Linked DNA regions of Callithrix jacchus. The protein of the gene in region 3 binds, or shares a complex with, the protein of the main gene of each other region. Links are inferred from orthologs where the notes say so. Each region holds a gene or a part of one and is shown on either strand. Other genes may lie near its edges. The genes, in order: ANKS4B, CDHR2 and CDHR5.

Evidence for each region.
Region 1: CDHR5 (region 3) and ANKS4B share a complex: the UniProt entries of both Homo sapiens proteins name them as parts of the IMAC/intermicrovillar adhesion complex. The link is inferred for Callithrix jacchus from reciprocal best matches to the Homo sapiens genes CDHR5 and ANKS4B.
Region 2: CDHR5 (region 3) and CDHR2 share a complex: the UniProt entries of both Homo sapiens proteins name them as parts of the IMAC/intermicrovillar adhesion complex. The link is inferred for Callithrix jacchus from reciprocal best matches to the Homo sapiens genes CDHR5 and CDHR2.

The regions. Positions count from the first base shown.
Region 1 is NC_133513.1:22,402,989-22,407,253, reverse strand, and holds the start of ANKS4B (ankyrin repeat and SAM domain-containing protein 4B), read right to left. Parts: upstream 2,851-4,265; 5' UTR 2,827-2,850; coding exon 2,663-2,826; intron 1-2,662. UniProt on the Homo sapiens protein: As part of the intermicrovillar adhesion complex/IMAC plays a role in epithelial brush border differentiation, controlling microvilli organization and length. Plays a role in assembly of the complex.
Region 2 is NC_133503.1:69,635,005-69,638,655, reverse strand, and holds part of CDHR2 (cadherin-related family member 2), read left to right. Parts: intron 1-2,339; coding exon 2,340-2,409; intron 2,410-2,559; coding exon 2,560-3,165; intron 3,166-3,651. UniProt on the Homo sapiens protein: Intermicrovillar adhesion molecule that forms, via its extracellular domain, calcium-dependent heterophilic complexes with CDHR5 on adjacent microvilli. Thereby, controls the packing of microvilli at the apical membrane of epithelial cells.
Region 3 is NC_133511.1:131,271,964-131,274,588, reverse strand, and holds part of CDHR5 (cadherin-related family member 5), read right to left. Parts: intron 2,522-2,625; coding exon 2,420-2,521; intron 2,312-2,419; coding exon 2,201-2,311; intron 2,108-2,200; coding exon 1,937-2,107; intron 1,229-1,936; coding exon 1,138-1,228; intron 974-1,137; coding exon 876-973; intron 758-875; coding exon 557-757; intron 410-556; coding exon 296-409; intron 213-295; coding exon 128-212; intron 31-127; coding exon 1-30. UniProt on the Homo sapiens protein: Intermicrovillar adhesion molecule that forms, via its extracellular domain, calcium-dependent heterophilic complexes with CDHR2 on adjacent microvilli. Thereby, controls the packing of microvilli at the apical membrane of epithelial cells.

The DNA.
Region 1 (4,265 bases), on a different chromosome or scaffold from region 3:
AGTAAAAATAAAAAATAAAAGATCAGCAGAACACTTACTGTGACAGAATATTTCAGGCTTTCAAAGGAGAGAGAGAGAACACCTAACCATTACTATTCAAAATGGTCCTCAAATGGAACAAGAGCTCTCTGCTGTTGAAGAAGACCCCCAAACCCTCTTCTAGGAGGACAAACTCACTGATTGATATGGTTTAGATCTGTGAGATCTGAACAATCTCTGTGAGGGGAACAAATCTCAAATAAAATTGTAATCCCTCATGTTGGAAGTAGGGACTGGTGAGAGGTGGTTGGATCATGATGGTGAATTTCTCATCAATGGTTTAGGACTGGAATCCCCCTTGGTACTGTCCTCATGATAGTGAGTTCTCATTAGATCTGTTTTCTAGCACCTCCCTGCCTCGCTCTCTAGCTCTTGCTTCTGCCATGTGAGATGCCTTTTCCTTCTGCCATGATTAGAAGCTTCCTGAAGCCTTCCCAAAAGTAGAAGCCACTATGCTTCCTGTGCAGCCTGCAGAACTATGAGCCAATGAAACCTCTTTTCTTTATAAATTACCCAGGCATAGGTATTTCCTTATAGCAGTGCAAGAATAGACTAATACATCGATTTTAAAGTAACTGACATCTTGCAGTTTGTGGAAAGAGGTAAACTTTCCGTAGATAGAGAAAGTTGGGGAAACCTGGGCTGAGCAGGAGAAGAGGTGAGATGACTGGAGAAGGCTGGCTGATGGGGATCGATGTGTCTCCACATCAATCAGAGAAAAGGAAGTCAAATCAGACAGCAGAGACGGGAAGACCTGCTTCATGCACTTCCTCATTCAATCTTACACTCAGGAATCCTCCCAATCCTGGGTTCCTCCTAAATGTCCCCTATTTTAATAAATAGTGTCAACATCCAAATCCTGGGTCCTTAACCCTCCTTTTCCTTCATCTGCCCACATCCAGTTAATCATGATTGATTCTACATCCAAACTGCCGCTCAAAGCCAACCGCATTTTCCCATTCCCACTGCCCCTATCCTAGTCCAACTCATCTCGACCATGAAAACAGCCCCAAACCTTCTCTCCGGCCGTTATCCATCTACCTGAGTGAGTTTTGTAAACATAAATCTACTCGGGCGGCTTCCCTGCGTAAACCCAAGACATGGAATGGCTTCCTGGACCCTTAGGGTACAGTCCTTACCAGAGTTGACAAGGCTCTCTGTGATCTGGTCTTATCTCTTGGGAACTTGCCCTGTCCCCACTGCTACTTGAGCCATGTCCAGCCATATTCAGCTTCTTTACTTCTCAGAATGTAGTGTTCTGTCTTAGGAAAAACACTCTTTCATCTGGCCAACTTGTTCTCATTTTCCTAATCCCAGCTTAAATGCTTTTCCCTTAGGGAAGCCTTCCCTCACCCCTGAGATTGGGATAGATGCCTATGTTATTTAGTGCCCTCTATTTCCCGTTTTGTAACAAACATCACAGATAAGCCAGACACAGTGGCTCACATGTATAATCCCAGCACTTTTGGAGGCCAAGGCTGTCAGATCGCTTGAGCTCATAAGTTCAAGACCATCCTCAGCAACATGACAAAACCCCATCACTACAAAAAATACAAAAATTGCTGGGCATGGTGGTGCACACCTCTAGTCCCAGCTACTCGGGAGGATCAGGTGGGAGGATCACTTGAGCCTGGGGCTCAAGGCTGTAGTGAGCTATGATCACAACACTGCACTCCAGCCTGCGTGATAGAATGAGACCCTGTCTCAAACACACACACACATGCGCGCGCACACACACACACACACCATAGATGTCTTGCCTTCCCCTCTCAAATCTGATCACCATGACAGGGATTGTGGCTGGCTTTTTGATCACAGTGTGCCAGTGGCCAGCAAAATGGCTGGCACATAACAGATACTGGAATTGGATTCACTCGGCTCCTTTATTTACATTGTCCTTTTTTCTTTCCTTACTCTTCTTGAGTCACAGTCGCCAGCACAATACAGCCCTCTGATAACAGGCAGAACAAGCAGAAGAGCTAGCTAACTTCATTAAAATCTGGGCAAAGAGCGGTGTGTGTGTGTGTGTGTGTGTGTGTGTGTGTGTCCACTGGCCAAAGAACTGACAAGAGTCAAGGTAGGCTAAAGATTCCTTGTAGAGCCAGCAACTCCTTTCAAAAGGGAAAGACTCTGTGTCAAAACCAAAAAATAAAAATAAATCATGTGCTTGTACTGGGATTGAAGGTTAATAAAAGACTGGAATTTTAATGGCATAGATGAAAAAATAAACTAAAAACATGTCATTTGTTCCAACCAAATTTGACAACTTAAAACCAAGTAAAACAGCGGCCTCTTTTAAAAGAGTAAACTATATAAATTTCATGAAAACCATTTTTAAAGGCATAGAATTAAAATATCTCTTCTCTTCTCCAGGCAGATAACACTTACAGTTCAGAATCTCTCCTCTGATTGTGACTAAGGGATGAGCCACTCCCATAGTGCCAGTCCTCAGTGAGAAAAGAGAGCCTCTCTAGGTAGTTTTCTCCCTTTCTCTAAAAAGCCAATCATTTAGACAGTCTAGAAGGAGGATAAAGTATTTGTACTGACATCCCTGCCTCTTGCTGCTGCTGCAAAAAGCTACCATGAACACTGTTTCCAACTGAAACCATTGGGTTGAACTTACCCTCTACTGCAGATTATCTCTAGGGCTTCCAAGTTCCCATGGTAGGCTGCTAAGAGAGTGGGAGTCATGCCATCTTCATCCGAAAGATTTAGATCTCGCTTGGTAGCCTCTTTTAGAAGTTCCAGATAACTATCACTAGCAGCTTGGTGGTAACGAGTAGACATTTTTTCTGCTCACCAGAACTGGCCAGATATCTCTCCAGGCAGAGCAGGGTGTTGGCAGAGCAACCTTCCTATAGCGCTAGTTAATCAGTGACAAGGAAAAGTGTCACCGGGGCAAAGCTCATTCCAGCTTCCTTTCATGGAAGGCAACAAGATTCAAGGCACTGAACTTGGACCTTTTCTCTCTGGAATGGCCATGACGTTGACTACTGAAGACTGCTGTATTCATCTTGAGTGTTTTGAGGCACATTTAATTTTTCTATGTCCGTTAGTTTCTTGAGTGTAATACTGGTCATCTAGGCACAGAATGTAAGAAATTTCTTTAAAAAATGCAGAGCTGGCCGGGCGCGGTGGCTCAAGCCTGTAATCCCAGCACTTTGGGAGGCCGAGACGGGTGGATCACGAGGTCAAGAGATCGAGACCATCTTGGTCAACAAGGTGAAACCCCATCTCTACTAAAAATACAAAAGATTAGCTGGGCACAGTGGCGCATGCCTGTAATCCCAGCTACTAGGGAGGCTGAGGCAGGAGAATTGCCTGAACCCAGGAGGCGGAGGTTGCGGTGAGCCGAGATCGCGCCATTGCACTCCAGCCTGGGTAACAAGAGCAAAACCCCGTCTCAAAAAAAAAAAGAAAAAAAAAAACACCCAAAAAATAAAAAATGCAGAGCTAGTCTAGTTCACTGTTTTTATTTCCAAAAATTACAGCTTTATTGAGGTATAATACCACTAAATTTACCCATTTTATGTATACAATTCAATTCAATGATATTTAGGACATTTATAGAGTTGCATACCCATTTTCTTAATTTTCATCAACCCTCAAAGATCCCTCATGCTAAGTAATATTCCACTGTCCTAAGATACCAAATGTTCTTCATCCATTCAATATTTGATGAATATGATGACTATTTGGGTTGTTTCCATTTTTTAGCATTGACGAATAATGCTAGTATAAACACTGATATATAAGTCTCTGTGTGGACACATATTTTCATGTGCCTTGCATATATATCAAGGAGTGAAACTGCTGGGTTACATGGCAATTTATATTTAGATTTCAGAAGCTGCCAAACTGTTTTCAAAGTGGTTATATGACTTCATATTTCCACCAATAATGTATGAGGGTTTCAGTTTCTCTACCTCCTTGCCAGCTCTTATTATTGCCTATCTTTTTGTGTATGGCCATCTAGTGGGTGTGAACTGATATTACTGTGGTTTTAATTTGCAATTCCCTAATGATATTGAGCATCTTTTCATGTGCCTATTAGTCATTCTTACATCTTCTATTCAAACCTTTTAGCCCAATTTTAATTAGGTTGCCTTATTAATAAAGTATAAGAATTATTTATACACTCTGGACACAAGTCCTATATCAGATATATTTTGGACAGAATGAAAATGAAAATGCCACATATGGAGATTTAGAGGATGCAGTTAAAG
Region 2 (3,651 bases), on a different chromosome or scaffold from region 3:
AGTATTGCTGCTGTATACTGCACATCAGGGCATCCCCCAAGGTTGGGCTGGTTATTACCATTTTGTTTCTATCTATCTGTCTATCTATTTTGAGATGGAGTCTCACTCTGTCGCCAGGCTGGAATGCAGTGGCACGATCTTGGCTTACTGCAACCTCCGCCTCCCAGGTTCAAGTGATTCTCCTGCCTCAGCCTCCCAAGTAGCTGAGACTACAGGTGAGCACCACCACACCTGGCTATTTTTTTTTTAAGTTTTACCATGTTGGTTTTACCATGTTGGCCAGGATGGTCTCGATCTCTTGACCTCGTGATCCACCTGCCTCGGCCTCCCAAAGTGCTGGGATTACAGGCGTGAGCCACAGCACCCGACCCCCTGGTTAACTTTTTAATTTTTGTTGCCCAGGCTGGTCTTGAACTCATGAGCTCAAGCAATCCACCTGCCTTGGCCTAAGTAGCTAGGACTAAAGATGCATGCCACTATGCCTGGCTAATTTGGCTAATTTTTAAAATTTATTTTTCATGGAAACAGGATCTTATTGCCCAGGCCAGTCTTGAACTACTGGCCTTAAGTGATCCTCGGATTCCCAAAATGCTGGGATTACAGTCATGAGTCACTGCACCTGACCTATTACCATTTTATTGATCAAGCAACTGAGGCAGGGCTGGGTGCAGTGGCTCACACCAAAAATCCCAATACTTTGGGAGGCCAAGATGAGAGGATTGCTTGAGCCCAGGAGTTCAAGACTGGGTTGGGCAACATACCAAGACCCCATCTCTACAAAAATAAAAAATTAGCCAGGCATGGTGCCATGGACCTGTAGTCCCAGCTACTCAGAAGGCTGAGAAGGGTGGATCGTTTCAGCCCAGGAGGTTGAGGCTGCAGTGAACTATGTTCATGCCACTGCAATCCAGCCTGTGAGACAGAGCAAGACCCTGTCTCAAAAAAGAAACTGAGGCACAGAGAGGTTCAGTACCTTGCCTGGGGGAGTCACAAAATGGGGTTGTGACTCCAATCAATCTGGTTCTAAGGCTGCCACCAGCCCACAAGTCACCTTCCTCTGGAACAGTATTGTAACAGGTATGCACATAACCCTACATCCTCTAGGGTTGTGCAGTGCACACCCTGCACCACTGCACATAGTAGCCCTGTGTCCCTTGGATTGGGATGCACCATTTTCACGCAAGGATCAGAGAGTAAGACCTCAGAAATAGAGAAACTGAAGCAGAATGAGACCTTGCTGGTTGTCCTTGGGGTGGGAGGGCTGCAAAGAGAGAACTTCATTTCCTGAGTGAACAGATTTCTTCACCTCTGTGAACAGTCACAATTGCCCTATTAGTGGGGCTACTACCCCATTTTGCAGATGAGGACATTGAGGCCCAGAGTGGTCAAGGATACACATGAGGCAGAGGTGGAGCAAGATGTGACTCAGCACTCTCAGCCACTCCTGTGAGCTAGGGCAAACTTGAGAATGCAGCTGGTCTTGTGCATGGAGCCGTGATGCCATCTCTGGGAAATGAGCAGTAGAAAAGACATATAGCTAAGGTGGAAGAAGGTTGTCTTCCAAATGTTTGTCTAGGGTTATTCAGAAAAACAAACACCTATGATGTGACCCACAAACCCAGGAAAGGCTGGAGTACTCAGGGCATTCCCCCAAGCACATGCCAGTGTTAGGGGACAGAGGGGAGGGCAGAGTCACCTCCAGGTTGTGACAACAGTTGCAGGGCTCCAGCTGTGCCTGATGGGCTAGGGCTGGCCACAGAGGTGAGAGCCAAAAACAGCCAGTGTCCGAGGCAGGAGCAGGTCTAAGCTTCTGCAGGTCCCAGAGCCCAGCTCTGCCTGAGCACAGAGCAGGTGTTGTGGGCTCAGTTGTATGCAGGAGGGACAGGGTAGGATGGGACAAGGGAAAGTGTGGGCCTTGGAGCCTTCATGGACACATAATGGTATTGGTACCAACACAATAAATCCAAGAGATGGGAATCAAGCTGGACCAGGCAGGGTCGCAGGGGGACCCAGAACTGTGCTTCCAGAAATCAGAGTCTAGAACAGTTCTGAGCTGTGGTCAGAGAAACTTGGCCTTTCATATCCAAGGAGGCAGGCAGGGCTTCCTGAGGATGGATATGTAAGGCCCAGCTGCCACTACAGGCCCTCGAACCCCAGAGCCCGTGTGACCCGGGCAAGTTCCCTCCTCCCAGAGCCTGTTTCCTCATCTGGGGAGTGGGCAGTGAGGTCGGAGGCACTGGTAGAGTCTGTGCCTCAGAGCACAGGGATTATTGGTTTCTCAGATTGGCTCTGGGGAGGGTGAAATGGATCCAGGGACGCAGACCTGTCTCTGCCTGCAGGACATCAATGATAACCTGCCTATCTTCAACCAGTCCAGCTACAACTTTACAGTGAAGGAGGAGGATCCAGGTATGTGTTCCCTGGGTCAGGAGAGGCACTAGGGCTGGGGCCCAGTGTGTCTTTGTTAGGGTGGACCTGGAGTGCCAAGAGAGGCGAGGGCAGAGGAGGCTTCTGATGGTGGGGCCACGAGTCTGTCTGAGCTCTGTCCCTTGTCCATAGGAGTGCTAGTGGGCGTGGTGAAGGCCTGGGACGCAGACCAGACGGAAGCCAACAATCGCATTAGCTTCAGCCTGTCGGGGAGTGGTGCCAACAACTTTATGATCCAAGGCTTGGTGCTGGGGGCTGGGTGGGCTGAGGGCTATCTCTGGCTGCCCCCGGATGTGAGCCTGGACTTCGAGACACAGTCCGTCTTCAACTTGACAGTGAGTGCTGAGAACCCAGACCCCCAGGGTGGTGACACCACAGTATATGTCCTTGTGAATGTGGAAGATGTGAACGACAATCCCCCCACCTTGGATGGAGCCTCAGTCCGGGACATCCGTGTGGCTGAGAATGGCTCGCAGCATGGCCAGGTGGCTGTGGTTGTTGCCTCGGATGTGGACACCAAAGCCCAGCTGGAGATACAGCTTGTGAACATTCTCTGCACCAAGGCCGGGGTCGATGTGGGCAGCCTGTGCTGGGGCTGGTTCTCAGTGGCAGCCAATGGCTCTGTGTACATCAACCAGAGCAAAGCCATTGACTACGAGGCCTGTGACCTGGTCAAACTGGTTGTGCGGGCCTGTGACCTCACCACAGATGCCGGCTTCCAGGCCTACAGCAACAATGGTAAGGCGGCCTGGTCTTACAGGGCTTGGCAGGCCACAGCTAGGGGCTGAGTGAAGAAGCCTGGGCTTCTTCACAAGGTCTGGGCTCAGATCCTGGCTCCAGCCCTTTCCAGTTGCAAATACTGGGAAAGTCCCAAATCCTCTCCAAGCTTCTGTCCAGTGGGGTTGGGCAGTAGGTTGGCTAGGAAGAATCAATGAGAAGATCCATGTAAAGCATTTAGTGCAGTGCCTGGCATGCAGTAGCACCGAATTAATGACATTATTTTGCAAGATGCTGTGAAAGAAAGATCACACTTTAGAGCCAGATGTGTACTTGTATCCCACTTCTGACACCATATGGCAATAATAACCACATTAACAGCTAGCATATGTTGAGTCCTTATGACAGCCAAGAACTGCACCAGGCACCTTATAAGCATTTTTGCACTTCTACATAATCCATGGGGTAGGTGGTCCCTATCAATTTTAAAAAGGAGTGTGGGCATTT
Region 3 (2,625 bases):
TTCCTCCGGCCTCTGGGGAGGGGGGGACGTCTGGGGGCCAGGAAGAGTGTTTGGGCTTGCCTCTGCCCGCCCCCTGCACCTCTGCCTCGGGGAAGGGAAGGACTTATCTGGAGAACCCTGGGCTCACCTGTGGAGGGGGGCTCCTGCTCGGAAACTTGGATCTCAATGACTGTGGTCGCAGTGCCCAAGCTCACTGTGTTGTTGGCCTCAACCTGGGGCAGGAAGGGGCTTGTCCCTCCTGGGTTCCTCTTTAAACCCCACGCCCTCAGAGACATCCACCTGCCCTGCCATTCACCTCTGCATAGAAGGTCCCCGCCTGTGGCAGTGCGATGGCGGTCAGCACAAGCTCTCCCTCCATCCGGAAGTGAGAGTGGTTGCTGATTCGATACGTGATGGCCGAGTTGAGGTCCTGGAGAGAGGGCCTCACTGAGTTCCCGGCCAGGCTGCCTCCCACATGCAGCTCTGACCCGCCCACAGCGTGGAGGGCAGATGGGCCCCGGGACCCCGGCAACAGGAAGGCAGCCGGACGGGGCAGCAGGCTTGGCATGCTGCCTACCGGGAACTCCGGGTCCTGAGCCTGGATCCTCAGAGGCTGAGAGGGGGCAGCTGCATCCTCGACCACAACACCTGCTCCAGAGCCAAGCGCCACGGTGCCACGGTACAGGCTCTGGGGGAAGTGGGGTGGGCTTCCGGCTGCAGCCACAGCCCTCACGGTGACCTGGGTCACGGAGTAGCGGGCGAGGTCAGCCTGCTGGCCCTGGAGGCGGGGAGGTAGCACTGGTGGGGCTGAAGGTAGAGCTGGAGCCTGGGGCTCAGGAAGGCAGGTGCATATTGGAGGGACCCCACCCTGCCCCCTGTGGAGGTGCCCACCTCACCTTCACCAGGAGAAGGAAGGTCATGGGGCTGGGTACCCTCCTGGCCATGGTGAGGTTACCGGAGTCTGCGTGGATGACGAACGTGCCATTCACATTTCCTGGGAGGTGGAGGAAGTGCTCAGCTCCGGCCCCCTGGGGCTCAGGGACCCAGTCAGCTCTGCCTAGCTGGCAGGTGGCCCGAGGGCTTCCCTAGCCCCAGGTGGGGACAGAGACAGGGTCAGAGAGGGGTCCAGGGTGTTGCTGCGGGCTGGGCCCCACTCACCATCCTGGATGCTGTAGACGATGCGTTGGTTGATGCTACGGTCTCCATCCTCAGCATAGATGGGTCCGGGACGCAGGACGAGGGGGGACGGCTTCAGGGATGGTGGAGGGGAGGGCACATTGTGGGGTGAAGTGGATGGCCGCAGCCTGGCCCCTCTGGCTCCCCCCAAGGTCAGCCAGGGCAGGGCTGGCCGAGGAGGGGCCTGTCACTCTGGTGGCTGGGCATCCTTGCCTGCCTAGGACGTCGCTGTCCCAGCATCACAATCAGTGACACCCCCGTGGTTCCCTTACTATAAGTCAAATTGCCCAAAAATATTGAGACCCATTTGCACAATGCTTGTCTTGACAGGTAAGAAAACATTTAGAAAGGGTGGGACCCTCGGGGTCTGCATTCCACCTTTTACCAGCCCTTTGGTGACACAGGCACGGGTTCCCGCTGCCCCCGGGTGCCTTGGTGCCATGAGGTCTACAGGCAGCCAGTGTGGCCTCAGTGGTGACTGTGAGCAGGGCAGAGCCGTCACCATCCCTTGAGAGCTCCAGGCCCTCAGCCCACCTCCCCGGGCCCCCAAGACCCCCTGGCTCCAGGCAGGCCACGCTCCTCTCTGTGTGGAGATTTGCTCCCTCACCACCTCAAGATGGGAAGGATTGGTTTACAAGGAGAGTCTGTATTTGTTTCAAAATCACAACCAAAATTGGCTTCACCCCAATTGGTCCGACCCTTTCTGGGTCCTGACCCTGACCCTTGCCTCCCGCCAGCCTGGGAGTCTCCACCCTGTGGACTGCCCCTCCCTCCCCATTACCAGTATGTGCCCAGTAGGGACGGCCCCGAGGTACTGGGCTTGGATGCAGACGTAGCCGTCTGAAAAGCTGCAGGGCAGGAACCACGGGGGCCGCAGGTCGGCGGGCACCACGTTAAGCACCAGTGTGGCGGTGGCCGTGTGGCTGGGCTCCACGTGCTCCTCCGGGGTGTCCTGTAATGGCCGGCTGTGCTGGATCAGGCCTGGGAGCAGCTGGGTCCGGGGGCCGCAAGTGTCTGGGACTCAGGGGTGGGGTGACGTGCTCACCCGCACCAGTAGCCGGAAGGCCATCTTTGGCCGCTTATCGAAGTCCAGGGGCCGGTCCAGCCTCAGGGCAGGACGGTTTGCACCCACCAGGGAGAAGTAGTCACTGGCACCCTGGAGAGGGTCGGGGGGACAGAGCCTGAGAGCCTGGGAGGGCGAGGGTGGCCTCGGGTGTCAGAGGCAAGGGGCCTGTGCTGGGGGGACAGGGTGGGCAGCACTGACTGTGGTCTCTTCCTGGAGGGTGTAGAACAAGATGTCATTTGCGTCTGGGTCCTTGGCCTCCAGTTCCGTCTCTGGGATGACGATGGAGGTCACTTTAGTGTCCTGGGGAGGGAGAGGAACTTGGTCCGGCCATGGCCCCTGTGGACCCCACTGTGACTGAGCCCCCTGCCCTCACCCCGGGCTCCCACGCCCCCCATGCCCAGCCC